Elephas maximus indicus: one gene and its partners. The protein of the gene in region 1 purifies or fractionates together with the protein of each later gene. This does not show direct contact. Links are inferred from orthologs where the notes say so. Each region holds a gene or a part of one and is shown in the gene's direction. Other genes may lie near its edges.

Region 1 (6,975 bases):
TGTAAATGTGTTGTGTACAGTGTGTACAGAGCCTTTTTTACTGAAGGACTGTCATTAAACACACTCGTTTTCTACCTGCCTGTCTGGTGTCTCTCTGTGGCAGCATGGCTAGGCAGGGAAAGAGTTGGCCTTGGTGCAGGAGGCCTTGCTCCCTCACTGTGAGGCAAGGCTGCAGCCTGCCTGCCCCAAGCCTCTGGTCCCAGGTACTGGGTTTAGTGTTCAGGGCGCCTCCTGTTTATCCTCCATCATGCCTCGCCTGTCAAGTGGACTCCCACCCAAGGTGACACCATGTGTGTCAGAATAGAACTGTTCCATCGGGTTTTAAATGGCTGCTTTTTTGGAGGTAGGTTACCAGGCCTTTCTCTGAGACACTTCTGGGTGGACCTGAACCTCCAAACTTTCACGTTTACTGTTTGCACCACTTGGGGACTCCTGACACCTGTAGTGGCTTTCTAATTGGCTCCCTGCTTCCAAGCTTGCCCCCTCTGTCCTCCACGAAATAGCCATTTTATGAGATCATGCCCCACCTTGCCCCTATTTTAAAATGCTTTGCTTTCCCACTGCTGTCAGGACACAGAACAAGGCTCAGGGGGACCACGGCCCACCCTCCTGACTCTCCAGCATCTCCAGCCCACGCTGCCCAGCCCCACATGTGTCTTCTTCATAGCACTTACCACAGCAGCAAGGCCACTAGGATGGAACCAGATGCTGCTATCAGGCCATTTCAGCCTAGTAGATCGTTCCGAGGGATACAGCCAATACTCTGATGCCACTCAGCAGGGCTGTCTGGTTTCACTCACCTATACCCGCTGGGCTTATTGTAGTCACACACCAGAGTGGAGGCAGGAACAGAGGTGTCCCTCCTATGTACGAAATTTTAAAATTAGGGTGCCTGATACTTCTGAGGGGGGCTGGCTCAGGTTTAAGCCCAACTCCATCTTGTATCTTTTCAGACTCTCGCTTGTCCTGCTTTTTTCCTTAGCAACAGTTAAACTTTGTGTAGGCTACTGAAATACCAAATGTTTTTCTCAAACTATAATTAACCTTTAGAAGCAACTTGTCTAGTTTCACATAATTGTATTTAGGTAATCAGGCTTATTAAAATACTTGAAATTTGTCCTCTCAGGAAACGAGATTAATGAACATGTTTCCAAGACTCCAGGAGTCTTCTAGTCATGGCTCTCTGATCTTGCAACTGTCTTAGCCACATTTTGATTTTTCTGTTTTTTATAAAGTTTGAGTACATACTGCCTTCTTATAAGCCAGAGCTAGGCTACCAGTGTCAAAAGTACACGTGAAACTAGGGGGAGGGAGCTAACAAACCCCATTGGGTAAAATGTTCTCCAAAGAACTTTCCCTTAAGCAAGTTAATCTTTACCACCTGTTCTCAAAACAAAACCCACATCTAGCCTTTGAACAAATCAGAAAAGTTTCCCCATTTCCAGATATCCCACCCTCAACTGTTTTACCTCACTAAGCATCAATCGGAAACCCTGGTGGTGTAGTGGTTAAGTGCTACAGTTGCTAACCAACCAATTCGGCAGTTCGAATCCACCAGGCGCTCCTTGGAAACTATGGGGCAGTTCTACTCTGTCCTATAGGGTCACTATGAGTCGGAATCGACTCAACCGCAATGGGTTTTTTTAAGCACCAATCAGAGTATTATGTTGCTAGTTCCTGGTTTAACAATATAAATATTGCATGGATGCCTGTAACTCTTCGAGGCTTTAGATTTCACTCTGTGAAATCTAATGTTTCCCCAGTTTAAAATGTATCCCCCCCCGCGCCGTATCTGTCAGTTTGTCATACTGTGGGGGCTCACGTGTTGCTGTGATGCTGGTAGCTCTGCCACTGGTATTCAAATACCAGCAGGGTCATCCATGGTGGACAGGTTTCAGCTGAGCTTCCAAACTAAGACAAACTAGGAAGTTCGGCGATCTACTTCTGAAAAAAATTAGCCAGTAAAAACCTTATGTATAGCAGTGGAATATTGTCTGATATAGGGTCAGAAGATGAGCCCACAGGTTAGAAGGCACTCAAAATACGACTGCGGAAGAGCTGCCTCCTCAAAGTAGAGTCAGCCTTAATGACAAGGATAGAGTCAAGCTTCTAGGGCCTTCACTCAGTGATGTGACATGACTCAGTGAGAAGAAACAGCTGTAAACACCCATTAATAATTGGAATGTGGAATGTATGAAGTATGAATCTACAAAAATTGGAAGTCATCAAAAATGAAATGGAACACATAAACATTGATATCCGAGGCATTAGTGAGCTGAAATGGACTGGTACTGGCCATTTTGAATTGGTCTACTGTGCCAAGAATGACGAATTGAAGAGGAATGGAGTTGCATTCATCATCAAAAGAACATTTCAAGATCCTGGAGTACAACGCTGTTTAAAGTCAGGAAAGGTGTGCGTCAGGGTTGTATCCTTTCACCATACTTATTCAATCTGTATGCTGAGCAAATAATCCAAGAAGCTGGAGTATATGAAGAAGAACGTGGCATCAGGACTGGAGGAAGGCTCATTAACAACCTTCGACACGCAGGTAACACAACCCTGCTGAAAGTGAAGAGGACATGAAGCACTGATGATCAAAGACCACAGCCTTCAGTATGGATTGCACCTCAACCTAAAGAAAACAATCATCCTCACAACTGTACCAACAAGCAACGTCATGATAAAGAGAAGAAAGACTAAAGTTTTAAAGGATTTCATTTTACTTGGATCCACAATCAACACCCATGGAAGCAGCAGTCAAGAAATGTAAGGATGCATTCCATTGGGCAAATCTGCTGCAAAAGACCTCTTTAAAGTGTTAAAAAGTAAAGATGTCACTTTAAGGACTAAGGTGAGCCTGACCCAAGCCATGGTGTTTTCAATTGCCTCATATGCATGTGAAAGCTGGACAGTGAATAAGGAAGGCCGGAAGCATCAATGCCTTTGAATTATGGTGTTGGCGAAGAATATTGCATATACCACGGACTGCCAAAAAGAACAAGCAAATCTATCCTGGAAGAAGTACAGTCAGAATGCTCCTTAGAAGCAAGGATGGCAAGTCTTAGTCTCACATACTTGGACATGTTATCAGGAGGGATCTGTCCCTGCAGAAGAACATCATGCTTGTTAAAGTGGAGGGTCATCGAAAAAGAAGAAGGTTCTCAACAAGACAGACTGACCCAGCGGCTGCAACAACGCACTTAAGCATAACGATGATGTATGGTGCACGACCAGGCAGTGTTTTGTTCTTTTGTACATCGGGTTGCTATGAGTCAGCACTGACTCCACCACACCGAGCAACAACAAAACTGTACCTTGCCTTTAATAAACCTCTTTACTTTTACATTAACAGTATGTACAGTTTTTACTCTTTGACACTCCCCTCCCACACTCATCTGATACACCAGCCAAACCAAATGCAGCTACATTCAGGCCCCTAGGCCTTTGCTCATGCCAATCCCCACTTCACTGTTGTCATTTTACCCACCCCCACAGCCGCAGAACCAGTTGGGTGTGGACCTGGCACATTTGTTTTCATGAACCCTCTTAGTTGCTCGGCAGCACTGTACTTCAGGGTGGGGAAACTGAGGCTGGCCTAGATTCAAAAAGTACTGCCAGGTTTCCAGATATAGTCCTTTCCTCCTCCTGGCCTTCAGGTCCCCCTTCATTCCTCCTCCACTGGGCAGAGTTCCAGTCCTTCCTGTGAGACTTGGAAGCCACCGCCTGAGTCAGGCCCTCAGCTGCTATTTTCTGTCGGCTAGAAGCTTTTCAATGCACCAGGACTTTGGGAGGCAACCAGAAGAAAAACGGGTCACGGTTCCTTTAAGGAGCCGGAGGGGAGCGCGCCCCGATCTTTTGTCTGGGCGGTGGCGCGCGCGTCTGCGTCAACGCCCGCGCATGCGCATGGAGAGCGGCCTAGGCGGCGACGGAGGCTGACAAGTCCACAGCGACGCGAGCACCAAATCTGGCCCAGCCTTCGCCTCCCGGCCTCGGTTCTCCGCGGCGCGGCGCGGCTAGTCCCGGCCCCGCCTCAGCCCTCCCGACCTTTCGCAGCCCGGCCCCGGCCGCCCGCTTCCGCCGCCGCAATGATGATGATGGCGCTGAGCAAGACCTTCGGGCAGAAGCCCGTCAAGTTCCAGCTGGAGGACGACGGCGAGTTCTACATGATCGGCTCCGAGGTACCCGCGGCGCGTCCTCGCCCCACCCCGCCCCGCAGGAGGCCCGGGGCGGGTCTGCGCGCGGGGGGCGGCCGTCTCCATTCATCGCGACGGGCGCGCGCGCGTGGCCGGGGCGAGGCCTTTCGGGGGTGTGGTCTGCCCAGGCTCCGCCCCGGGCTCTCGGCGTTCTGGGTTGGCGTTCGGTTTCCGCGTGGTCCGGGGCTCACCCCGCGTCATGGCTTAGGTCCTGCGAGGTGCCAGGGGACCGCCTAAGCTGGTCCAGCGCCAGCAAAGACGCAAATAAAAGGGGTGTTGTGGGTTGTTTTTTGTGGCTAGTCCCTGCGGTGCATGAAGGGGTCACAATGTTGCCCTTAAGTCTTTTGAGATGTTGACAATCTCATGTGCACCCCGCCCCCATTGTTCCGTCTAAGATCCTGAAATCGCGGGTTGGAAACCTGGGGCTTAGTGAGGGCTCCTGCCGGTTTGTGTTCGTTGCCGCGGAGGTGGGCCAAACCTACTGCCGTCAGTCGATTCCGACTCATAGCGACTCTGTAGGAGGGACATCTCTCAGCACTTCCGAAGCAATTGACGTTTTGGAGATTTGTGAACGGACTGACCTGAATTATTAAGGGGAGAAGGTTCTGTTCTTTAATCCTCAATTCGAAGCGACAGTACTGTGAGCCAGCTGGCGAACTGGCTTTAGGAAAATCCTACAACCGCCCCATCTAACGGGGGTTTGTACTACGTTAAGTTTTGCCAAATTGCCTCGTATTAGTCTTTTCTCACCTAAAGTCAGTACCCAACTAATATATATTTCTTTTTTTAATTGATGGGTGTAAATAAAGTTTACACGTGCACATGTCACACCGTTGAGTTTCTTATGTGACAAGGTAAGTGCCAATCTTGGAGTGCGAACACAACCACAAAATGCCAAGGGTCTCTTCTCTGTTGTAGCAGGTTTCAGTGTCATACTCCAACATCTCATTCATGCTTTTTTTAAAGTGTCTTTCCTTTTCTTCACCACTGAGCATAGCATGAAAGAATCAAACCTGTGATTGTCACGCTGAGGCTGTCAGGACCCCTCATGACTCCCACCTTGTCTTAGTCTGTGAGGCCGGTGTTGTCGCTTACCTCAGAACTTTAATGTTTCACCAGTTTTTATAAAACAGGAGAGCGGGATGCAATAAATTCTTCATGTTATCACATAAGTGCTGCTGTTCAAAGAAGGCTTAGCTGCGGACATGTTGCCAATTTCTGTCCATCTTCCCCTGCTCAGAAGGGGCCTCACCAGCTGGTCGGCACCCACCTACATTCAGGGCTCAAAAAGGAGTTTCCGAATGTGCCGTGGTGCAAGCTGTTTAAGGATAAATCTTTACCTGACCTAATGGTAAATTAGAGGGTTAGCTTTTCGCTTACCCTCTACGAGATGGAGTGGCACAGTAGCTGCAACGATGGGCTCAAGCATAACGATTATGAGGATGGCGCAGGACCAGGCAGTGTTTCGTTCTGTTGTACATAGGGTTGCTATGAGTCAGAACTGACTTGACAGCACCTAATAACAACAATGCCCTTGACTTGGAGTGGGTGGTCCTCTTGAGAAGAAAGCTTCCCATGATTCGGTGGCGTAAAGTAATTGGGAAGAAGCAGCAGCCAGGTGGGAAGACCATTGGAGGCCTAGTTCCAGCCTCCTCCGCCTACATCATTTTTGTCACCTATATAGTGAGCATGGTCTCGAAGACCTTCCATGTGACACACTTTAGGTTTCTCGAAAGCTAACAGCAGCCTTTTCTTTCAGCCTGTTTGCTCCTGGCCCAGCTTGTTGAGTGAGAGTGATTTCATGAGGGTCCCTTTGTGCCTGGTCCAGTCTGTAGAGCCCCAAGTGGGAGAGGCCTACACCTGTTCTTTTGGGCCAGGCTTAACAAGCATCAGCCATTTGGCATTCAAGGGAGGATTCAAGAGCAGAATGCTATCTGTGGATACTCAGTAGCTCTGGTGACTGTTGGATAGATGGCCCTTGGACCCCTTGCCCTTGGAAACAGACTCTGTGTTCAGAGAGGCAGGCCAGCCATGGTCACATCCCACCCCACCCCCAACGCCCTGTGCGGTACCCCGTGGAGCTGCCTTGGGTGGCATCTGCAGTTGCTGTGAGTGCGTGTCCTTATTCTCCCGCCATCTACAGGCAGCTATAGTCACCAGGCCAGGTCACAAAGCTGAGAGGACCCTGAGAAATCACTAAGCCTAGTACCTTCATTTGACATTTGGGACACCTGGGTTCATAGAGGGCCAGGGCTGATTCAGGGAAAACCCAGGAGGACAGTCGCCTGAAGGGGTCTTGGGAGGGGCTGAGGAGTCCCAGAGTCCCGAGGGACCTCCAGGGTAGTAATGGGGGACACTGTGGTCAGTTTCTTTTCAAAAACCTCATGGGAATTCTGTGCTTACCCTTGGGTGGCACCAGCACACACAGGCCAGGAGGTTCAGTGGTTGGCATCTGTGCTTTCTATCTGAAGCAGGAGGGGCTCATGCTACACAGAGACTCTGGTTGATGCTTATACACATCTTTACTCGTGAAATGTGGAGAAACTCGTTTTCACTTAATAAATATACTATGCTGGGTGGGTAAAGTGGGAAAAGTCATAGCAGTGATCTTTTGTGGGACTGAGTTCAACGGTGCTGAAAATTTGACCGAGGAGTCGAGGGACCCAGAAAGGGAAAGCAATCAGGGTCTCCAAGGAAGCCAGCACCTGGCCCACAGGCCACTGGTCATGGGGCGGGGGTGGGGGGCTCTGAGTGATAACTTTTGAGAGGTCAGTGAGAC
Region 2 (7,624 bases), on another chromosome or scaffold:
AAGTACAGGGTCAGCGGACAAGAGGAGACCCTCAACAAGATGGATTGACATAGTGGCAGCAAGGATGGGCTCAAGCATAACAATGATTGTAAGGGTGGTGCAGGACCGGGCAGTGTTTCGTTCTGTTGTGTACAGGGTCGCTATGAGTCGGAACCGACTCGATGGCACCTAACAACAATAACAACTACTAGGGTCACATAACAATGTGTATATAAATTTTTGTATGAGAAACTAACTTAAACTGTAAACTTTCACTTAAAGCACAATTTTTAAAAAAATGATAGGAGGTTATCCTGGATTATCTGAGTGGGCCCAGTATAACCACAATGGTTCTTAAAAGTGGAAGAGGGAAGCAGAAGAGAGATGCAGAAAGGTGGTGGCATGAGAAGGACTCAACCTGACATTGCTGGCTTTGAAGATGGAGAAAGGGGCCATGAACCAAGTGTCTTAGGCTAGGTTCTACAGAGGAACAAAACCAGTGAAGCATATATGTAAATATACAGAGAGAGATTTATTCAAGAAAATTGCTCAAGCAATTGTGGAGGCTGGCAAGTCCCAAATCCTTGGGTCAAGCAGCAGGCTGGAGGCTTCTGACTCACGTGGTTACAGGGGCCGACAAACCCAAACTCTGTAGGTCAGGCAGCAGGCTAATGGCTCATGGGGTTTCAGGACTTGGTGAATCCAAAATCTGCAGGTCCAGCAGCAGGTTGAAGTCTTCTCATGACCCAAGATCCAGACGTTAGACGTCAACGAGATGAATGCAGAATCGGGAGAGAGAGCTTTGCCAGAACATCCATTTACATCCTGGATGTAGGCTACACCCCCAAGGAAACGCCCCTTCCAACTGATTGGCTACTCACTTTAGATCACAAAATGGGAGGTGACTACCTAGTGCCTGACAAACCGCTGAGAATCATAGCCTCGCCCAGTTGGCCTATAACCATCACACCAAGGAAAGGGAGTGGCCTCTAGAAACTGCAACAGGCAAGGACACAGATTCTCCCCTAGAGCCTCCAGAAGGGAATGCACGCTGCTGACACCTTGACCTTAACCCTGTGAGATCCATGTTGGACGTCTTGTCTACAGAACTGTAAGCTAATGAATTGATGTTGCTTTAAGCCACTAAATATGTGGTAATTTGTCACAGCAGCAACTGAAAGCTAATACAATGATATACTACATGAGATATCAAGGTGCAGACTAGTGCGGAGTGTGCTACAATCTGTGTAGAAAAAGAAAGGAATATGTACTTTTGGATATATGTTTGTAAATATGTGGACCAATGGTTCGAAACCTCAGCTGTACAAGACTGTGATCTGGAAACCTTAAAAAACAAACCCCAACGTTCAGGCTGCACCACGGACCACTAAACCAGAACCTCCGGGGTGGGCCCCGGCATCGGTATTTTTTTGGAGTTCCCCAGGTGCAGCCAACGTTGACAGTATCAGTGTAGACTGTCTCTGGAAGGTTAGGCAGAGGGTGACAAGGACAGGGTGAGTGCAGGATCAGGAGGGAGGGACTTGTTTATTTTTTAACTTTTAAACTTAACTGTATACCTTTAAACAAAAACAAAACAAAACACATGCACAAGCCATCTACAGAACCATGGAGACAAAACCTTGGTGATAGGGCCCAGGAATCTGCATTCTAACAGCTTTCTTGGGTGAGCCTCATGGTCGTCGGGGCACCACTGGGCTCTCTCTGCCTATGCTGTGTCCTCATTGGCCGCGTTCTTGTTTCTGGCTTCCTGGTACTTCGCATTAACAACGTACCAGGGAACCACCCCCTGTGAAAGTTTTGAAGGCCTCCTTGAATCATTTCCATTTTTTAGCCCCTGAAACTTCTCTCAGTGAATTCCACGGGTTTCCACCGTCGCTGCTTAGAGTGCCCGGGGAATCCTTCACAACATCTCACGTCTTCTTTGCTCCTCAGCACTGTGTTTTGGTTTCTGTGGCCTGACACAGGAGTAGACCTTCCAGTGGCTTTTGCAGAAAGGAGGGAGACATTGATTCTTATCCTCTTTCCCCCATCTTAACCTATGAAGGAGGAAAGAGAGAGGAACCTCAGCGTGTTTGAGACTCCTACACCATGAGGCTTCTCCTCAAACAGGTTTCTTTAGCTACCAGTGGTCTTCAGGGTGGCTTTTTGTCTAGACTGCCTTGGAAATCCTTGCCTTTTAGGAGAGTTCAGGGTATAATACAGAATGTGTTCAGAGTCCTGTGGGGGTTCATGGGAGGAAGGTCTCTTTCCTTCTGCTTGGAGTGATCTGGGAAGGGTTTATGGAAGGGGGAAGCATTGATGTTGGTCATTCACTCATTCAACAAGTATTTATGAGTACCTACTGAGTGCCCGGCTCTGTTCTAGGTGTTGGGGACAATCAGTGAACTAATGGACCATGTTGCTACCTTCATGGAGCAACTGAAATCGGGAGATAGATAATAACCAACATAAACAAATAGTATTTTAGATGATGAATGCTCCAAAGAAAAATGTGGGGAGATAGGGAATGTGCGTGGAACAGATGTGGCAGCCTTAGGTAGGGTGGGCAGGGAAGGCTGCACTGAGAACATTTGAGTAAAGATTAAAGGCAGGGGTGAGGGAGTGAACCATGCACATATATGGGGGATGGGCAGAAGAACCTCCAGTGTAAAGGTCCTGAGGCAGGAGCTTGAGTGAATGTTTTCAGATTAGCAAGGCGGCCAGAGCAGTTGGAGAGTGCAAAGGAGAAAGTTATAGGAGGTGAGGTCAGAGAATTCTTGGGAGGGGTGTGGCAGGCACATGGTGCGAGGCATCGAGGCCACTATAGCTTTTCCTCTGAGAAGGGAAACCATTGCCTTGAGTGCAAGTTCTTCAGGGACGAGGCCTGGGCTGGCTGATCTCTGCATCCCCCTCAGGATCCAGCAACAGGCTTTCACCTCAAAAATGTCAAGGCGTGACTTTCAAAAAGAAAAAGAGGTCACCATTTGTGTGGTCTGTGGGGAATAGTTGGTATGTGCCTGCTTTGATACTCTCTCACACAGACAAAGCTGCAGTGGGAGATGGGGGCGAACAAATGTGAGCAGTTAACATGGGTCACTGGGACTTTGGAGCTGGGGATGGCCTGGTCAGAAAAAGTGACTGACTGGCAGTGGGGCAGCGTGGGCTGGAGGAGGGTTGGATGCCGCCAGAGACCAGGGCAGCTGTTAGGTGGAAAGAAACTACAGGCCAGAAACCTCCAGAGGCCAGGGGGAGGCTGGTCAGGACTTGGACAAGGGTGAGACAGAGGTTAGACATAACCGCCAGGTGTTGGGCTGTATGCCTGCACCAGGGAAACCTATGAACAGAATTGGAGGCGTCTAGAAACCTGGCCTCTCTCTGGCACTTAACATGTTCTGCCTTATGTTTTATGTTCCTGTTGCTTTCCTTATCCTCAGCTGGAGGGCAGGGAGTGTCTTACCCATCTTTGCATCACCCACAGTGTCCTCTGCTATGGGGCACATGGCAGAGCTCAGGCGGTGGGTGATTTTGGATCAGTTGGGTTTGAGAAATAGGTGTGCCACCTTTGATCCCATTATTTCTTCAGTCAGCTTTTCCCTCCACTTGCTGGTGCAGCTCTTCCACTCCTCAGTCAGGTAGAAGCTATTCTTGACCCTCGTACCTGCAAAGCTTCCATCTGCTCTGCCTATTAGCTGTGTCGATAAACGTCTAAGGAGCATTTTCAATGCCTGTGGACACTGTTAGCCCTTGGAACAATAGCATCTACCCTGTTTTCAGAGATCAGCTTCAAGCTCACTTTCTCTCCTCCCCAAGCTTTCTGGAAAGCCCCCATCTAACTTCGAGCTGTCAAAGCACCCTATACTTCTCTTAGCCAGCAAGTATCACATGACATTTTAAATACCTCTTCTGATTTGCACGTTCTACTAACCCGGGAGTTCACGGTGCGAAATACACATCCTTGTGTCCTCAGCACTTAGCACAGAACTTTGCAGAAGTCGGCATCATTTAGTCAGCTGCTGCACGAAATGAGACAAGGGATCAAGTGTGAACAAGGTGGTAGTGTAGGTGGGTCGCACTCAAAGACTGCAGAATAAGGTGGGACCCCACGGAATTCGGAGGAGGTGTCTGAGTTTTAGCTGGATGTCGGCAGCGAAGAGGCAGCTGCAGGGATCAGGTGTGTGCGAGGGTCAGCGGCCTGCTGGGGAAAGGTGTCCCGCTCTGGGACCTCTCCGGGGAGCTGGGCGCTGACCGGGGCAGGCCAGGCGCCCGGGGCCCGCAGCGTCCAGGCCACAGGCTGGAAGCCGCAGGAGCCGCTCCGGCAGGTGCTGGCCTCTGACCCCTGAAGAGCCGGGGCCTCGCACCTCGCCCTGCCCACTGCACGTGCCGCCCGCTCGCCGCGCACCCGGCCTGCGCGGGGCTAAGGGGTTGCGGGGCGCCCAGCGGGGGCCGCCGGCGGCGGGCGGGCGCGCAAGCGCGCTGAGGCCTCGAGCCCCAAGGGGCGGGCGGGTGCGCGCGCTCCCCGCGCACGCGCGCACGGAGGGGGCCAGGGCGGCGGTGACGCTGCGGCTGCGGGCGGTGGGCGGCGGGCGGCGCGCGATCCCGTGTCCTGGGAGCAGAGCCCCAGCCCCCGCCGCCGCCATGTCGGGCCGGTCGGTCCGGGCCGAGACCCGCAGCCGCGCCAAGGACGACATCAAGAAGGTGATGGCGGCCATCGAGAAAGTGCGGAAATGGTGAGGGGCTGGGGCGGCGGCTCCTGGGGGGCCGGCCCCGGGGAGCGCCGAACTGGCGGGCGCTGGGGGAGGGGGCAAGCAGGAAGCGGGAGGTGGCTACTGCCCGCGTCGGCGTGAGGTCAGGGGGCGCGCCGGCTGCAACCAATGAGCGGGCGGCCCGGCTCGTGGGCCCGCCCACCTGGCCGCGCGTCTCCCGGGAGAGACTGCTGGCTTCCGGTCCGCGCTCGGTCCGTCGGGCCTTGCGCTCTGCGCGTCGCCCGGGAGGGGCTGCCGGCTTCCGGTCAGCGCTCGGTCTGCCGGGTCTTGCGCTCTGCGCGGCGGCAGGGTTCCCGCGCGGACCGGACGAACGCGCCCTCTCGCTTACCGGGGCGTTCTCGCCGCCGCCCGGCGTGCTCGGGCTTGTTTCTCAGCTGCCCCGTCACAAAGGCTCGCGAGCGCTGAGCGTCCAGTGTGACGGCCTGATGGCTTTCTGTGTTAACTCACTTAAGTTGGGTAAGAGCCCTCCGTAATTCTGCCTGCCGGCGGAAGCCAGCCTGGCCGCGGACATCGGGCCCCGTCCCCTCCCCTGACATCTTTCAGGTGTACCTCCCAGGTGTACGTTCCAGGTGTACCTCCCAGGCGTACCTCCCAGGTGCACGTTCCAGGTGCACCTCCCAGGTGTACGTTCCAGGTGCACTTCCCAGGTATCTCCCAGGCGCACGTTCCAGGTGTACCTCCCAGGCGTACCTCCCAGGTGCACGTTCCAGGTGCACCTCCCAGGCGTACCTCCCAGGTGCACGTTCCAGGTGCACCTCCCAGGCGTACCTCCCAGGTGCACGTTCCAGGTGTACCTCCCAGGCGTACCTCCGAGGTGTACTTTCCAGGTGCACCTCCGAGGCGTACGGTCCAGATGTACCGCTGGTACTTTCTCGTGCCCTGGGGGCTGCTGGTGGAGGGGCCTGGGCCTAGCCCTTGTTTGGAGACGGAATGAGCGCCTGTCTTGTAGCAGGAACTCGGGTGCGTTATCGCATTTAACACTCACGGGCGACTTTTTGATGCCTCCTTGAGCCCTTTCCTTCCCCTTTTCCCTATCAGAAGCCCCGATGGATGGGTCTTAGTTTCCTCCAGGAGGCCTTCTCCAGCCCGTCACCCCTCACCCTCCACCCTTTTGGGGACATCATTACTCAGGTCTGTATTCGTGTGTTTGTCTATTTCCCAACAAGAGAAAGCTTCTTATTTGGGACTCCGAAATTAAATGATTTTTCCTCTCTAAATCTAATTCTCCTAGGTTTTGGTTAAACGTAAGAATCGGTACACCTTTTTTTTCTCCTCGACATCTTTGTCCTCACCTGTCACCGAGGCCAGATTATCATCTTCACCTAGACATCGGCACCAGCGCCTCCGTCATCTCCCTGCTTCTACACTGGCCGCCTACCCAGTCCCTACTTCACATTGCAGTCGGAACGATTTCGTTTTTCTTATTTTCAGTTACCAGAGTGATCTTTTTAAAGTGAAAATGTTACCATAGCATCCCCTGGTTAGAAAATAACGCTTCAGTGGCCTCTTGTCTTCTTATCTCAGGATAAAGACCAAAGCAGATCTTTCCTGCCTTGCCTGTCTCGCTCAAACTGCCCTCTTTGCCAGGAGGCTGTTGTCGCACACTCCTGTTCTGCTGCCAGGCATCCTTCCTCCTCCCCTCTCTCCACCCCCTTCCTGGGTTAACTCCCAGAGCTTAGTTCAAAAGTTGGCTTCTCAGGGATACTTTTCAAAATTCTCAATCTAGGTCGGGTCTGCTTCATAGAACTTTACACAACCCTGAGAAATGCCTTATATTTGAGTATTTAATCTACAAAAATGGCAATTTTATATGTTTCAAATTAATGATTAAGTGGCTGATTTTGAAATAGTTGTTTAATGTCTGTTTCCAGCTGGAATGCAGACTCTGTGAGGGTAGGAACCTGTATCTCCTCTCTCGCTGCAACCCCAGGGCCTAATACAGGAATTTGTACGTTAAATATTTCTTGAACAAATGAGGAAATGGAGTGGCCTGTCTGGAACTAAACTCCAGTTTCTTGAATCTTTAGTTCATCCTTCTTTCTGTTACGTCACAGTCTGTCTCCATTTCTGTGATGTCATCATTTGCTGAAGAGCATTGGTTACTTTTTTTTGTGTGTGATCTCAAATTTGGACTTGAAACCTTCAGAGTTGTTTTACATCTGTCGCAAAGCAGCTTTCTGCGTCTGGCCCTCATTCCTGCTGACAGCAGGTACCTCATAGGGACACCAGTGGCTCTTAGAATAAACAAATTCATTCTGTGTCTGGCATACTTAGAGAAGTAACCTTTTGGAACAAAGGGTAGTCTCCCTTGTTTCTTCTGCGCACACACGTAAGCACATTGAAGGTGCTTCTGTGTGCCACTTCAGAACACTGGCATTTGATGTAATCAGGTTTAGCTAGAGTTGTGAGGCCTTAATAGTGATCTAGAGAGTGACCTTGGGCAAGAGTTTTATCCTTCCTAATGCCTTTTTTTTATCTTGTGAGTGTAGTGGTTAATCTCTGTTATTTTTTACTTCGTAAGGATATATTGTTTGCTGCCATCAAGTTGGTTCGAGCTCATGGTGACCCCATGCACAGTGGCATGAAATGTTGCTCGATCCTGCACCATCCTCACGATTGGTGGCAGATCAGACACTTGTGATCCATAGAGTTTTCACTGGCTAATTTTCAGAAGCAGATCACCAGACCTTTCTTCCTTGTCTTAGTCTGAAAGCTCTGTGGTAACCTGTTCAGTGTCATAACAGCACAAGCCTAGACCAGCCTGGAGACTTAGAGATGATCTCGAAAATTATCAGAACATTTTTTATTGATATTTGTTTAAATAGAATAGCTAACCTATAAGTTTATTTCTGTTGACTGTATTTTTAGTAGTAATAGAATGG
Region 3 (7,921 bases), about 14 Mb from region 1:
TGCTGAAAAGATAGTGAGGAATTATCAGGCTGAAACTGAAGGGAAAAGAGAACCCCGAAAGAGACTCCAGCAAAGAGGCCACTCTCACCTCACAGATATTTGCAAATCCTAGCATATTTCAATAATGGTTGTATTAACTGGTCTTCCTTGTAGGCGTATGGATATTATCCTATCACAGACAGCGTTATACTTCAGGATAGATCTTGAAATGTTCTTTTTGACGATGAATGCAACACCATTCCTCTTCAATTTGTCATTCCTGGCATAGCAGACCATACGATTGTCTGATTCAAAATGGCCAATACCAGTCCATTTCAGCTCACTAATGCCTAGGATATGGATCTTTATGCATTCCATTTCACTTTTGACGACTGCCAATTTTCCTGGATTCATACTTTGTACGTGCCACGTTTTGGTTATTAAGGGATGTTTGCAGCTGTATCTCCTCGTTTCCAGCGGTACCACATCAGTAAATGAAGGTGCAGAAAGCTTGGCTCCATCCACGTCATTAAAGGTGGACTCTACTTTGAGGAGGCAGCTCTTCCCACCTGAGGGGCTCGTCTTCCAGCGCCGTATCAGACGATGTTCAGCTGCTATTCATAAGGTTTTCACTGGCTGGTTTTTTCAGAAGTAGGTCCTTCATCCTAGTCTGTCTTAGTCTGAAAGTTCAGCTGAAACCCGTCCACCTAGGGTGACCCTGCTGGTATATGAGATAGCAAGAGGAGGAAATTGGTGGACAGGTTTCAGCTCTTGCAAGAGCTTCCAGACTAAAACTAGTTAGAAGCACCTGGTAATCTGACACAGCCTTGCTTGCTGAAAGTGAAGAGGACTTGAAGCACTTACTGATGAAGATCAAAGACCACAGCCTTCAGTATGGATTACACTTCAACATAAAAGAAAACAAAAATCCTCTCAACTGGACCAACAAGTAACATCATGATAAATGGAGAAAATACTGAAGTTGTCAAGGATTTCATTTTACTTGTGTCCATAATCAGTGCCCATGGAAACAGCAGTCAGGGAATCAAATGATGTATTGCATTGGGCAAATCTGCTGCAGAAGACTTCTTTTAAGTGTTAAAAAGCAAAGATGTCACTTTGAGGACTAAGTTGCTCCTGACCCAAGCCACTATGTTTTCAGCACGCGAGAGCTGAATGACGAATAAGTTAGACAGATGTAGAATTGATGCCTTTAAATTATTGTGTTGGTGACGAATGTTGAATACACCATGGACTGCCAGAAGAATGAACAAGTCTGTCTTGGAAGAAATATAGCCAGAGTGGTCCTTGGAAGCGAGGATGGGGAGACATCGTCTCAAGTACTTCAGACATGTTATCAGGAGGGACCAGTCCCTGGAGAAGGACATCATGCTTGATAAAGAACAGGGTCAGCAAAAGAGAGGGAGACCCTTAACAAGATGGACTGACACGGTGGCTGCAGTGATGAGGGAGACTCTCCCCACAATAACCTGGGGCCCCAGTGGACACTAGTGGGGTGGTACACTGGCAAATGTTTAACAGACAGCTCTGGGTGGGGAAGGGGAAGGAGGATCCTGATTTATAGCATTTGCCCATGGCTGTAGTGTAAATGGAAACTCCGGTGGCATAGTGGTTAAGTGCTACAGCTGCTAACCAAAGGGTTGGCAGTTTGAATCCACCAGGCGCTCCTTGGAAACTCTATGGGGCAGTTCTACTCTGTCCTATAGGGTCGCTATGAGTCAGAATCGACCCGACAGCACTGGGTTTGGTTTTTTGGTTTGGTAGTGTAAATATTCTCACCATGGCTGACTTCAAGCTATTAACATGAGGTCACTAAACACAGAAGAGGGAAACGCAAGCCTGTGAGCCAGCTGCAGTACATCACTGACCCCACCCATAGGTTATAATAAGCAAATTCGACTTATACACCCTGCAGCCTGTATTTACATGGCCCGGGTGGTCCAGGAACCACAAGCCCTGAACTTGGATTGAGGTAGCCCTGGACCATCAGTTCCTTCAGGATCCTGGGAGAAGCAAATATAAACCATCCCTAAAGGAAAGTTACTTCATCCTAGGCCTCAAATTATTCCTATAAATCACGTTTAAAATACAATGTCTGGCCTGGTCAAAAAGAAGCAGGCATACCACAAGGAAATACGATACCATGAGCAAGAACTAGCAGAAACAGACCCTCAGATACTTCAAATGTTAGAATTATCAGACACAGGCTATAAAACAACTGCGCTTTGTTGAAGAAAATAAAGGAGTCCTAAAATATCTTCAGGGGACAAGAAACTATAAAAAGTGACATACTAGATTTGTAAAGAACATTTGTAGAGTTTTACAGTTTAATCAGGGATCGAAAACACAAATACCTTCAGGGGCCAGACAGGTAACACAAATGAGTAAAGCGGTTGGATGAGCACACTCGTGAACTGGGGGACGTCGTCTGAAGGGCACAGCGTGGTCCCTTGATGGGGACAGTGGGGGCCCAGTGTTGCCAGATCTACTGCTATTTCTGAATAGGCTGGATATTTGGGTTTTCCTTTTGGTAAAATACAAATAACATAAAACTGACCATTTTAGTCATTTTAACGTTTACAATCCAGTGGCATTAAGTGTAACCACAATGTTGTACGACCACGTCCTCTGTCTAGTTTCAGAACTTTTTTGTCACTTCAGAAGGAAACCCCATGCCTATTAGCAGTCTCTCCCCATCCCCACTGCTCCTCAGCCTCTGGCAACCACTAATCTGCTTTCTGGTTCTATGGATTGGCCTATTGTGGGTATTTCATTTAAGTGGAATCAGACAGTGTTTTTCCTTCTGTGTCTGCCTTCCACTGCCTTCCAGCATTCATCCATGTTGGGGCATATGTCTGTACTTCTTTTGTTTTATGGCCAAATAATATTCTATCGTGAGGATTTTCGTTTATCTATTCACCAATTGCAATTGGGGGTTTTGACATGATATCTATTTTCAATTAAAATATTTTTAAAAGTCCTGCACAGCCCAAAGTACATATCTGCTGGCTAGATCTAGTCAGACGTCTGTTTTATGGCCTGCTGCTCCATGGTTTCCCATATAATCTTCAGGATAATTCTCTAAGTGCCTTTCTTTTTTAAAAATTTATTTTTATTGTGGTAAAAACATATTAACAAAACATTTGCCAATTCAACAGTTTTTACATGTACAATTCAGTGGCATCATGTTCATCATGTTGTACAACCATCATCACTGTCCGTTTCCAGATTATTCCACCACCATTAACAGAAACTCAGTGTCCCCCTAAGCAATGACTCCCCACTCTCCCTCTCTCTGTACCTCTGGTAACCACTAATAAACTCTGGTCTCTGTACATTTACAGTCTATTTCATATAAGTGGGATCATGTAACATTTGTCCTTTTGTGACTTACTCCACTCAGCATAATATTCTCAAGGCTCGTCCATGCTGTAGCGAATCTGGACTTCATTTCTCTTTATGGCTGCTTAATACCCCACTGCATGGATGCGCCACATTTTGTTTATCCAGTCATCTGTTGATAAGCTTCTGCCTTTTGGCTGGTGTGAAAAGTGCTGCAATGAACGTTGATGTGCAGGTTTCTGTTTAAGTCCCTGCTTTTAATTCTTGTGAGTGTATATACCTAGGGCTGGAATTGCTGGGTCACTGAGGTTAGTGCTGTAATCTTAATTTTCACATCAGGAATTTGAGTTTCAGAAAAGTAAAACGACATGCCTGGGAAAGACACGCGCAGTCTCCCTCTCCACTTCCCCCTTAGAGCTTCTACAAAAAAAACCAAACCTCGGGGGAAATTGCTTGAGATTAGGATGAGTGAGAATTGGAGATGTAGGTTATGCCTAAGACCTTGGACATAACTCCTCGGGACTCAGTTTCGCACCTGGAAGTGACTGGCGTTGGAATTGCTAAGGCTGCCCCTCTCATTTTCCTGAGCACTCATGGGGCACGACTGGGTGCTGGTCAGATCTAAACAGCTGCAGCCAAACATAAAGGTGGGGGCACCTGGGCTGTCCTGATAATCGTCTATTCCTCCACAGGGCTGTCCTGAGGTCTAATGGGAAGAAAACTGCTGTCAAAAGCCCTCTCCGTGGGCTGGCCAGTCCTTTTCACCTTCCCGGAGCCTGGCACTTATCCGGAGTGCCATCAACAGCTTCAGTTTAAATTGTAGTTCTCTGACGGAAACCCCAGCATACCCCTCATCTTAATTATGGCGAGGGCACCTGATCTTAAGGTAAGGGCACCTAGTAAAAGGCTGAGGGTCACTGAGCTTTTCCTACGCAGAAAGCTGTTTAAAAAGCACGGCCAACTGTTTTCCCGGGATCTGCCACAGGCCCCCTTCCTTCCATCCTAGTTTAGCCAAAGGGCCCAGCGTCGGGGCGGCGAGGTGTCAGCCCGCGTGTTGAAACGGGGAAGAGGGCGAACGAACAGCGATCCGTATTTCTCAACTCTCTCCAAGAGCAACTCGCGTCCCGAATCGCCGCCTTCAACTCTGAGAAGTCAAGAGCCCCACAGGAAACTTGCATTATTGCAACCGCTACAACGAACCCGGGCCCGGAGACAGGCAGCCGAGCTGGCTCCCAAAGAACGCGCGCCCTGCCAGGCTGGCTGTCCCGCCAGCCTGCCCTCCCCAAGGGACCCCCAGCACCTGCGGCCTCCGAGGACTTGTCCGCGCGCGCGGCCCACGCCTCCCCCTCCACGTGCCCTCTCGGCCGCGGGGGCCCGGGTCGCCGCGCCCCCTCGCCGCCCGGGGTGGGGGTCCCGGGCGCCTTCCCCGGGCAGAAGCCGGGGTCGCGGCGCGCGGCCCGAGCCTGGGGCGCTGCCGGGCCCGGAGGCCGCACTGGCGGCGGCGGCGGCGCTGCTCCCCCGCTCGGTGCAGCTGCCGCCCGGCGCTTGCGCACTGGGCCCGGCGCGCGGCGGCACAGGCTTTGTGTGTATGTGTGTGTGAGTGTGTGAATGCGTGTGTGAGTGTCTGTGTGAGTGAGCCGCGAGCGAGCGAGTGTGGCCGCCGCGGAGCGCGAGCAGGACCGGCGGCGCGGCCCCAGCCTCTGTCGCCGCCAGCACCATGTCGGGCAGGTCGGTTCGAGCCGAGACCAGGAGCCGGGCCAAAGATGATATCAAGAGGGTCATGGCGGCTATCGAGAAAGTGCGCAAATGGTGAGCTGAGGCGCCTCCTCGCCGGGTGCCGCGGCCGCACAAAACCCGGACGCCCGGTCTCCGCGGCCCCAAGGGTCCGCCCGCGCCCCTCGCCCGGGCCGCGGGCCCAGAGTTGGCGCGGGTGGCGGGCGGGCCGGGTCACCTGCGCGAGCCGGGACCGCGGCCGCTGCCCAGGTGCGCTCGCCCGGCGCCCACCTGGCGCCGCGGCGGCGGCGGCGGCTCGGAGGCGGCGGGCGCGCGGGGCGGCGGGACCGGCGGCGGGACCGGCGGCGGCCCAGGCACGGCGCGCGGCCGGGAGGGGACTCGGGGCCGGCCCAGAAGCCATTTCGTTTTGTGCAAGTCACATGAAAGCGGCTTCCCGCGCGCCGGGCCGTGATGCCGGCGGAGCGGAGAGCGCGAGCTCCATTGTGCAGGCTCGGAGCGGGCCGCGTCTCCTCCCCGCGCGCCTCGGGCGGCGAGCGCAGCGCCGGCCCCGCGCCCTGCCCGCACGGCGTCTCCGCCGCCGGCTCCCGCCTCCCAGGCCCGGCGCCCTCGAGTCTGTGGAGTTTGCAGAGCGCCAGCCGTTTAAATTTAGCGCTTTGGGCTGCCTGGAGAGAGGGCTTTTGGCGAGGAAGAAAGACGGGGGCGAGCGCCGGGAGGAAGCGATGCCGGTGGGGCGGCCGGGGCGCCGGGCACCCACTCCCACCGCCCACCCGCACCGGCTGCGGGGCGCGGGGTACGGCTGGAGGAGATTTGGAGGCAGCAAAAGTGCTCCTGGGCCGCGCCTGCCTTCCCCAAAACAGAAGCTCGTGTGTGTTTTGCAGGGAGAGCCGTTGTTTTTGTTCTCTACTCGGGGGCAAAAGGAACATTTGGGGTCGGGGGCGCGTGGTTTTCAAGCTCAAATGAGCTCCTGGCTGGTGTGGCCCTCGTAATCATTGTGTTAAGAGCCTTCCCCGGTCTCGGCGGGTCTGACCCTGATCGGCCCCAGGCCAGGCCCGAGGCTGAGCCGATCCAGGTTGGGGTAGACTTTCAGAGAACTCCAGGCTCCCGGGTTTCAACTTTATTTTTTTTTCCTCCCACGGCTTCACCAGGGTACGGGAGGGAGAGGAACGGCCGCAACGCTGTCCCCGAGTGTCAGCACCCACGGTCTCGCCCTGCCCCTTTATTTAAAGCTCTGAAGGTGGGCAGGCCCGGTGGCAGGGTATATTTACGTTTTGGGGTGTCATTTCTTGAGTCGCGCCTCCATCTCTAAAAATCACGGGGGGCCGAGCCTCTAGGTCCGGCAGTGTCACAAGTTCGCTGTCCTTTCTGAGTCAAACCCAACAAAAAAAGCAAGAGAAAAATCAATAAAGTCCACGTGCTCCGGGGCCTCCTATGGAAAGAGCTGTCTGTGGATGGCCGGATGCCCGGCCGTGGGCTGGGTTTGGCTCCAACGGGACAAAGAATTTTCAGAACCGTGAGAAGGGAGGCTATTCAAAGTTGAGATCCGAGTCGCCGGTGCTTCGGTAGCTTCCCTGGCCTGTGCGCACACAGTGGCCGGAATGGAGCCTTTTAAAAATGGCAGAAACAGCTGCAGGCTAAAACGCAGCCACTGGAAAACAAGCCCTGCCAACTCCGTCTTCTGTAGGATTCCCAGGTGGGAAGGCTGGAGTTGTCCTGTTGCAAAGAATGGACTGGTGTCTGGGCCTGAGCCCCTTCTGTGGCCATCCTGGAGGCTAGGAAGGAGCCGGAACAGGCGGCCTTTCTCTGCTGGAGAAGGCTTGGTGGGGCCTCCTGCCCCAGGGTGGGAGCCTGGCTGAGGCCCTGCACCCTGACAGCTGCTCCTGCAGGCCCACCAGCTGCTCCACACAGAAGGCAGATGGAGAGATGGGGTTTTCTACCCAGCAAGCCCCAGAACCAGACAGCCCCGGAAGCCTGCACAGGACAGCCAGGCGTGTTTGGGTAGAGGGAGTCTCTCTCCCTCCCTGTGTTTTGGGAAACATGTCTTGTCCTTTAAAGATGTCAGGCAGGCTGTGGGAACTAACAGATGGGCTCCCAGCCCACTCCCTTGCTGTGACCTTACCATGCAACTTGTCAAAGCCATTGTAAAAAAGAAGTCCTGTGCTCCTTGCCCCTTAGGGTGGATGAGGACCAAATACAGTCAGGTCTCCAAAAGCACCTGTCCTAGCACGTGGGCCAATTACCAGTTGCCCTCCAGTCAGCTTCGACTCATGGCAACCCCATGTGTAGAATTGTGCTCCATAGGGTTTTTGACTGCTGATTTTTTGGACGTAGATCGCCAGGCCTTTCTTCCGAGGCATCTGTGGGTGGAGTTAAACCTCCAGCCTTTGGGTTAGCAGCCAAGTGCGTTAACTGTTTTCACCACCTGGGAACTCCTGGTACATTGTTTTTAGTTGTCAGTTTTGACTCATGGCGACCCCTTGTGTGCAGAGAACCGCTCCATAGGGTTTTCGAGGCTGTGATGTTTCGAAAGCAGATCGCCGGGCCTGTCTTCTGAGGTACTTCTGGGTAGGTTCGAACCACCAACCTTTCACGTAGGAGCACTCATTAAATGTTGTTGATATAAGGTGGACTTTGTAAAAGTCTTGCGGATTTTTTTTTTTTGCCACCTCTGAGCTCAAAAAAAAAAAAAAAGGCTTCTTTTCTTCACTGCTTGGGTTTAGTAGCTGTATCTCACCTTCACTGTACCTTTAGAATGGGCCTTCCAGTTGGAGGTTGAGGCTTTGAGTTGTTTATTAACTGCGTGGCTGTTAACCATGCATTTCACCACGGCTGAGACTTCGGGCTGCCA
Region 4 (7,614 bases), on another chromosome or scaffold:
AAAAGGCACAGTGTCCCCTCCCCCATTCCAGGCTCACTCTCTTCTACTCCTCCCCCACCTTAGAACCTGTCTGCCTCTCTAAGCCACAATATAGTTTGAAAGCCTCAGGACTGCGCAGATGTGCAACGGAGCAGAGGTCAGCCCCTTCATCTTGTGGGGTCTCTGTTTTACCTCCTTGACCTTTAATGACTACCTGTGTCCAGGAGCCAGTTGAAGTCCGAGTCTAACGTTCAGGACAGATACTAGACAGGAAATACCAATTTGGGACTTTGTCTACATAGAAGCAATGAGCATTGGTAGTGGGTGGGATCAGCCAAGACTGAGGAGGGCAAGATGAGAGGAGAGACCTGTGGGGGCCACCGACATTTAGAAGATGGGTAGAGGAAGAAAAGCCCCTCAGTGATACTGAGCAATAGGCAGAGGTAACCTGAGGCTAAGCCAGGCTGGCTTGTCACAGGCTGTTGAGAGGTGGGGAATGGTTGGGATGAATGAACAAGATTTGGAAAAACGGGTTCGCTAGCTGTCTTCCTGGGGCAGGGGCTGTCAGAAGGAGGAGGCACAAGTGGAAGGCAAAGTAGAAACTAGAGTGCTCTGACTGCCACTTCAACCAAAGCAAGCCCCACTTTTTGTCTCTTACATATTAGCCCTCCCAAGATTTCATTTGAACAAGGGCATCTGCCACTTAAAGAAAATAATTACCAAACAACTGATATACGAAGGAAACACTTTTAAAGCATAAATCCAGGTAACCTGGGGAAACAGACAGTTATATTGATTTTCCAGATTTGGGCTGGAAGCAACCCAGAGGGGTAAACTCACACTGAGGGGAAGGTACTTGAAGACACAGAATGGCAGTCTAACACCTACTCAAAATTCCCAAGCCTCCAAGGCCACCCAGGAATCAGAATATGGAATATAAACAACTTACTACACCACCTGGTTGCTAGAGAAATGGAGTTTCTTCACATAGTAGAGTTGTTTGGTCCTTTAGGCCAGCTCCTGGACTCACTGCTAGGACTCCAACTTCAGGGACTTTGCATTTGAATGACCAGGAGAAGAGGGGGTGAGGATGGGATGACGAAAAAAGTTGGAGAAGTCTTAACGAAATGCTAGGCATACTTTAATGTTACAACAGCCCACCGAAGTAGATATTCTTAGTTTACAGATAAAGATAAAGCCATCCAGCTGGGAAGTGGCTGAACCAGAATCCTGACCAATAGCTTGAGCTTCTCCCCTTGAAGCTATAGGGTGCTTGGGGTGGGGGTAGGGACCTAGCCTCCGATTCCAAAGTAAAGCCTCAAATGCTCCTCACATGGATATTCCCCAGCAGGCTGTGGCTGCCTTCTACAGCTGCCAGAGGTTCTGGCAGCAGGGCACTGCAGTGCAGGCTCTAAATTTCTCTAATCACCATAAGCACCCTAAAGAACTGTGAATGAGTTCTTTTTGTGAATGAGGGTGTTTGTGTGTGTGAGTTTTCTGTGAAATTGTGGATGTCAGAAGGTGTGATAGTTTTGAGTATGTGTATTGTGAGTTGACATATGATGTGTGTGACTGCAAGACAAATCTTGCTTCTTTGAGGAGGATAATTTTTTTGAAAAAGCTAGAAATGAACTCTCTGGGGACAAACTGCTGTTACATTTATGGAGGTGAGAAGTGTGGAGCAAGAGGGGAGACTTTTCTGTAGGGGTCCCAACCTGGAGCTCATCTCAGGCACCAGTGTGTACGGAGACAGCATGTGGGGACACAGCTCAGGCTTTGGGCATGGATAGACTTGGCTACTCAGGCTATGAGCCCGGATAGACTTGGCCACCTGACACGGGAAAGTCACTCTACTGCTCTGAGCCTCAGAGTTTACTCATCTGGAAAATAAGGTTAAGAATCCCTAACTCAAAAAACTTGTGGGATGTTTCACACAAAAGAGGCCTCCTGGGAATCAGAACCTGGCATCCCAACATGACTTCTCCAAGAAGGGCTCTCACCCAGGTATATTCACTGTTCTGTCATCACTGGCATGGAGAGGGGGATGTGGATGCAACCCTCAGTGTAGCTGGAGGGCCAGTGTCACCAAATCAACTATTCTCACAGAGGCTGGGGTTGGCTGTGCAGGCATCAGTGTACTGAGTCAGAAACAATCACTGGAGCCCTTCCAAGGTAACTCCTGAGGTCAGTTTAGGGGTGTTGAGGGGGGAGTCCGCAACAAGGTGGTACACTTAAAGCTGGGAGTGTCAGGGAAACCTGGTTCTCTGGGGTGGGGGGCAGCTGTTCTAGTTGCAAATGCTCTGTAAGTAATTTCATCCACAGCACACTACTTGCTTCCCAGGCTCAATCAAATGCTTGGGTCCTTGGTCTCCACAGAAGCACAGAAACTCAGGTGTATTAAAGAGCATTTTATCATCATATTTTATCCCCATAACAAGCCTGAGAACAGCAAGGCAAGGATTATAATGTTATCCTCTTTTACAAGAGGGGAGGCTGATCCACAGATAATAAGGGACTGAGTGGGGACCAGGGGGCTCAACTTCCAAGCTAGCGTCCTTACTGCTCTAGCACTCTGCTTCATCCCACACTGACTCGGTTGGTATCTGCTATGCCTTCCGTGAGGGCAGAGCCCCTTGGTAATACAGCAGGAATCTGAGATGGGGGCTCCAGACATCAGGGGGTCTCTGGTCTGAGAGTGAAGCTTGACCTCCATGGCCTGCCATTAAACACACAGTCCTCATCTCCTGGCCTTTCCCCTCAATGATCTCATCAGCGGAGACTCCTGGGGTGACCCACTACATTTCCCAAATCACCTTCCTACCTGCCCTTTCTCTTAGTGGAAGGATCCCCCGGACCCCAACACACACGCACCTGGGGCAGGTACATGAACTCAGAGGGAAGGGTTTTTAGAGGATGTCTTTCTACTCCAATTTCCACCCCTATTTCACAGGGGGAAAATGGGTCCAGAGGGAGAAAGGGATTTGCCTAAGGATATGTCACCAGTCACTGGCTTAGAACCCAGATGACCCAACCACTAGCCACAAATTCTTCATACACCTCCTCACACAGCATGCTACTGGTTACTTCCTTCCCTCCACTACCTACACTGAACCAGTCACCCGCTCCCCTTGAGTCTTTCTCAAAACACATCTCTCTCCTATTCCTTCCCCACTCTCATTGCCCCAGTCAGGTCCTCATTACAGCTCACCTGAACTATTGAGGCAGCCTCCTAAACAGCAGCAAGCCCCCATTTTGCCCACAGGCCTCTAAGGCCCATCATACTCTGCACATCCCACCTCATCCACACCAGTTTCCTTTCCTCACTGCCCCAATGCGGGTAGGGCTGCCTCAATTAACAGGTCTTTCTTGCTCACACATTTTGGACCTCGAACACAGGCTCAGTTCTATTAAGCACAGGCCTGTGGGGTGCCTCCTACTCCCCCCCACCAGAAATCCTTTTGGTTGGGAGTTATGACAAATTCGGCAAATGATGCAGGGAAGAATCTGTAGCGCTTTGACTCGAGCGCTACAATGTGCCTCTTGTACTTTCCAACCAGTCATTGCAACAGCCTAGGCACTCCTCACTCAGCCCACCCTCAGAACCCATCCAGCCGCTGGGATGCTGAGCATCTTAGACCAGAATTCTGGGCCTTTTTGTGTGGCCCTGTGACCACCCTGTTCAAACACATTCAGCTGTGTAGGTCCAAGCATTTTAACCAAATATTATAAGCCTTCCTCTGGTCCCATCTTTCCAACCTTAATTTTCATTAACTATCCCAGCTGCACTTGAAGGGCCTTAACAATGTTTCACACCTACCCCTTTGTGCCCTTTGCTGAAAAATGACTTGCCCTTCCATTTCTGCCTGGTGAAATCTCCTTCGAGACCCAACTTGAATGCCTCTATGAAACCTTTCCTAATTTTCCTTCAGCTGGAAGGAATCTCCCTTCCCTGAGCTCCTAGAGATGTCTATTTATGTACACATTCCTGCCTTGAGTTAGCTTTTTCTGTATCATCTTTTCGGCTGGACCGGGAGTCCCTGGACGGTGTGGAGTGAGCCTCTCATCCGGCCTCTGTGAACGGACCCAGCAGCAGGCGCGGTATTAACGTGTCTGCCTCACCCGAAGGTGCTCAGACAAGTGCCTGTTGTCCTGGACGCAGGGATTCCCACTTGCATCACTCACTTTTAGGCGATAACAGAGGGCACCGGACACGGTTAGGTCACAGCCAGATATTCCAGCCAGGCGCTAGGGTGCCCTTTCCCGCCTCTCCGTCCAGCTCTGAAGGGTGTGTATGTGTGTGTGTGAAGGAAGTGGGGGCCGCGCAGCCCAGCTCCCTCTTCCTCCGGGTCCACCTGCGGATCCTCAAGTCCCAGAAGGCCTCCCTCCGGCTCGAGGGCCTCAAACTCCAAGACTGAGAAGACAGGGACCTCTGCCACAGTTGTGCCGCCCACTCGCGGAGAGTTTATTTATATTTTTTTTGGAGGGAGGGGGCGTGCAATGAAGGGGAAGAGGCGGGGCAAGGAGAGAAGGCGGGCCCAGGATGACTGACGTTAGAAGCGGGGAGCCAATGGCCCGTGGGGGGCGTTCCCCCCCATTCAGGACTCCTCGCCTGGCTCGGAAGGTATGTTAAACAGCTGCTTTTAATTTGGTCCCCCCAATCTCCGGCGTTTGGGGGGCTAGTCCATGGCCGCTCGCTTTGGCCAGCCCGCGGCGGTGCGGGCGCCACGGGCCCCGGGACGGAGCCAGGGGGAGGCTCGGAGTCCGGCCGCTGAGGGAGGCGAGGGGCAGGCCAGGAAGGAGAGCTCTTGGCGCCGCCCGCTTGCCAGTGTGTTTCCAAGCCGGGCGGGAGCTGTGGGGAGGGGGCCGGCCCGGCCTGGGGTCGCCAGGGCGCCAGCCGTGCTCCCTAGTTTATTTCACCGAGCAGTCGGTTTCGGTAGGTTTCGGCGGCGGAATGGGCAAGGGGTAGGCAGAAGGAGATTCCCCGCTCCTGGAATGTCCCTCCCTTTTGAAAAAATTTGTAAAGAAAAATGGGGGATTCCGTACACCGACTGGAACCAGGCCCGGGCTGCGGCGCGCGGGATCGGCAGGGGGCGGCGGCCCGAGCCGGGTTGGCCGGGCCCACTGAGCTCGCGGTGCCTGGAGTTGGTCGAGAGCTGGAGTTAGCAAGCGAGCCGAGGCCCGCGGCTTTCCCCGCTAACCACGCTGCACGAAGGCGGCAGCCACCCCAGGGGTTTTGTTTCTGCCCGCAAACTTGTCGGAGGGGCCGGTGGGCGCGCCCCCGGGAGGCGCGGGCGCCGAGGGCCAGCGGTTGTTAGGGACTCTGGGGGCGGGGGCAACGCCGGACTTGCGAGAGGGGCGGCCGGCGGCGGGAGAGGCCACCGGAAAGAGTCCCCGCGCTTCGGCAACAGCCCCATGCGCCGGCCGGAGCTCTCCGAACTCCCGGGCTGTGGCGGTGGAGTCGGCATTCGGCGCCGGAACCCGCCAGGCCGCGAACCGGCGCTGAGCTCGGCCCGGGGGTCTGGAAAACCTCCAGGAACTCGGCGGTTCCGACCCGCAGCCCCAGCTGATCCCCTTGCAAACATGGAGCTCCCTCCTTTCCCTCCCACCCCGCGGCGGCGGCGGCGGCGGCGGGGCTGCTCCCTCCCCCTCCCCCGGCCGTGCCGCTGCCGGGCTCCCCCTTCCCGCGAGGTGCCGCTGCGGGCCGCTCGGCCTCGAATCGGGCGCGGGCGTATTTGCGCGCGCCCCCGAGGGGGTGGCCTGAAAGGGGCAGTGAAGGTCGGAAACAGGGAAAACAGACTCCACGCTTGGAATCGGGAAAAGGAAATGCATCAGCGGGCGGGGAGGGGCGCAGGGAGCGCGCCTGTCAGTCGGGATGGCGGCCTCCGGCAGGCTGCAAGCGGGGAAGCAGGCGCCGGCGCGAACTGCGGGGGTCGGGCGGGGACGCCGGCTGAGGAGGCAGAGGGGACCGGACCCCTGGAGCACCGGGATTGCCCCTGCCTCCACTCATTGGCCCAGCCTGTTTACTATACTCCGGCGGAGCCTTGTGCAACCGGCCAGGAGGGTAGCTGAGGGCGGGGCCGTCTCTTCCACCCACCTCGGGCTCCTCCAGAGGCTCCGCCTCCTCTTGTTTTCTACTGGCTGGGCGAGACTCCCTTTTTCTCTTCTTGGTTACCAATTGGGTGACATTCTCCCGAGCTCCGCCTATCGGGAGGCCGGGCCGGAGTTTAAGTTGCTAGGATTTTTTTCCTAGAAGGGCGGAGGGAGGATTCCTGCGGCTTACGTGAGGCGCAAGGTCCCGCCCCTATTTCTAATTGGTGAAATGAATAGTTCCGCCTCCTCCGGCGGAGCGAGCTGGGAGGAGGAAAAAGCCAACCACTCGTCCCTGCCCCCTCCCTTCGCTCGTGTGCGCGCTTCGCACATGTATGGGGCCCGCCCCGCTCCTTCGAACTGCCCTCCCGCCCGGAAGTCCTGAGCTCGGCGCCCTTGGCGTGGGGGGCGGGGGCGAGAGGGGGCGGGGGGGCGCGAGCAGAGCAGGCACACAAAGATCCCTCCAAGGATCGAAGTCTGCTGGCCTTCGTGGTCCAACTAGGGGATGACCGTGTGGAGTGGATTTTGAGGGATTCTGCAGGAGCTGAGAGGGTGAAATCTGCCCTTCCCGGCTGGGGCTGCGTATTAAAGTTCTGACCGCTGCCTGGCTATTCTCGCACACCGGCGGCCCCTGACTTCCAGGGGATTGCCATTAGCTTAAGCTAGAGATCGCTGCGCACGCTGGCAGTGTTTTTTCTTCACAGGGCAAGGTGGCTGGCGTTGTTGGCTGTCTCGGGTTCGCCTGGGAGTCTTAGGCATGACCCAGGACAGCTCATCTCCCTGTAGGGCAGTCCACTTTTGGCTCGGGTTCGGAGTGGTTCTCCGTGTCTAGGTGGGAGCGACTTACGGCATCCAGTCCTGGGAAGAGGGGCCGGTCCAGGGTTAAAGGCACCTCTTGATATGTTCTGCCAAAATGCCTTTTCTTTGTAACCTCAGAGACGTTTGGCCCGGGGGTTGCTTTCGTAGACCTGACTTATTTTTAGAGCTCCGTCTGGGGGCAAGGCTTCACTCCTGGCGAGGCTGCTCCCACCTGTCGTGGAGTTCACAATTCGCCGCCGTGGCACCGCGGCTCAGAACCATCCTGGGAGTCAGGCCCACCTGTTGCCAGAGCTCGTTTCTGGCCGTCTCCGCTGGATTGCGGGGGACAGGGTAGGAGGATCTAGGAGCAGATTCCCTGCGGCCTGCCACTTCGGGACCCACCCGCCTCTCTGTGGGGAGTAGCCTTTTTGCTGGAGTGAGCGGGAAGGCTCTAGTTCCGCCCCCTTTCCTGGTGCTGCGAGAGCGCCCCCAAAACCATGGCCAGCGTCAGTTCTTAACTCTTTTGGTGAATGAATAAAAGCAAGGTAGCTATCGCAAGCACTTTGTCTCCCTGTGTGTTCGAGGCACTATTACCTACACCGAAAGGGTCAGAAGATTGCTATTAACACACTTTAGCCGAGGAAGAAAACAACAATTGTTATCTTTTGCCCCCAACTGATTTTTATCCTATCTCAAGTGTGGATATATCTTCAAGGTTCTTTTCTGCCATGGTCTGTTTTGGTCTTTTCC

Evidence for each region.
Region 2: the proteins of SMARCB1 (region 1) and BCL7B purify together in Homo sapiens (affinity purification with mass spectrometry; 6 studies listed by BioGRID and IntAct, with this or other methods). This does not show direct contact. The link is inferred for Elephas maximus indicus from reciprocal best matches to the Homo sapiens genes SMARCB1 and BCL7B.
Region 3: the proteins of SMARCB1 (region 1) and BCL7A purify together in Homo sapiens (affinity purification with mass spectrometry; 7 studies listed by BioGRID and IntAct, counting the BioPlex papers as one, with this or other methods). This does not show direct contact. The link is inferred for Elephas maximus indicus from reciprocal best matches to the Homo sapiens genes SMARCB1 and BCL7A.
Region 4: the proteins of SMARCB1 (region 1) and SIN3A purify together in Homo sapiens (affinity purification with western blotting; 3 studies listed by BioGRID, with this or other methods). This does not show direct contact. The link is inferred for Elephas maximus indicus from reciprocal best matches to the Homo sapiens genes SMARCB1 and SIN3A.

What each region holds. Positions count from the first base shown.
Region 1 is NC_064840.1:22,469,824-22,476,798, forward strand, and holds the start of SMARCB1 (SWI/SNF-related matrix-associated actin-dependent regulator of chromatin subfamily B member 1), read left to right. Parts: upstream 1-3,901; 5' UTR 3,902-4,088; coding exon 4,089-4,181; intron 4,182-6,975.
Region 2 is NC_064830.1:110,066,717-110,074,340, forward strand, and holds the start of BCL7B (B-cell CLL/lymphoma 7 protein family member B), read left to right. Parts: upstream 1-4,529; 5' UTR 4,530-4,614; coding exon 4,615-4,706; intron 4,707-5,076; exon of another isoform or gene 5,077-5,291; intron 5,292-5,330; exon of another isoform or gene 5,331-5,432; intron 5,433-5,484; exon of another isoform or gene 5,485-5,559; intron 5,560-7,624. UniProt on the Homo sapiens protein: Positive regulator of apoptosis. Plays a role in the Wnt signaling pathway, negatively regulating the expression of Wnt signaling components CTNNB1 and HMGA1.
Region 3 is NC_064840.1:8,047,744-8,055,664, reverse strand, and holds the start of BCL7A (B-cell CLL/lymphoma 7 protein family member A), read left to right. Parts: upstream 1-4,875; 5' UTR 4,876-5,059; coding exon 5,060-5,151; intron 5,152-6,341; exon of another isoform or gene 6,342-6,426; intron 6,427-7,921.
Region 4 is NC_064831.1:65,381,082-65,388,695, reverse strand, and holds the start of SIN3A (paired amphipathic helix protein Sin3a), read left to right. Parts: upstream 1-4,562; 5' UTR 4,563-4,600; intron 4,601-7,542; exon of another isoform or gene 7,543-7,614. UniProt on the Homo sapiens protein: Acts as a transcriptional repressor. Corepressor for REST. Interacts with MXI1 to repress MYC responsive genes and antagonize MYC oncogenic activities. Also interacts with MXD1-MAX heterodimers to repress transcription by tethering SIN3A to DNA.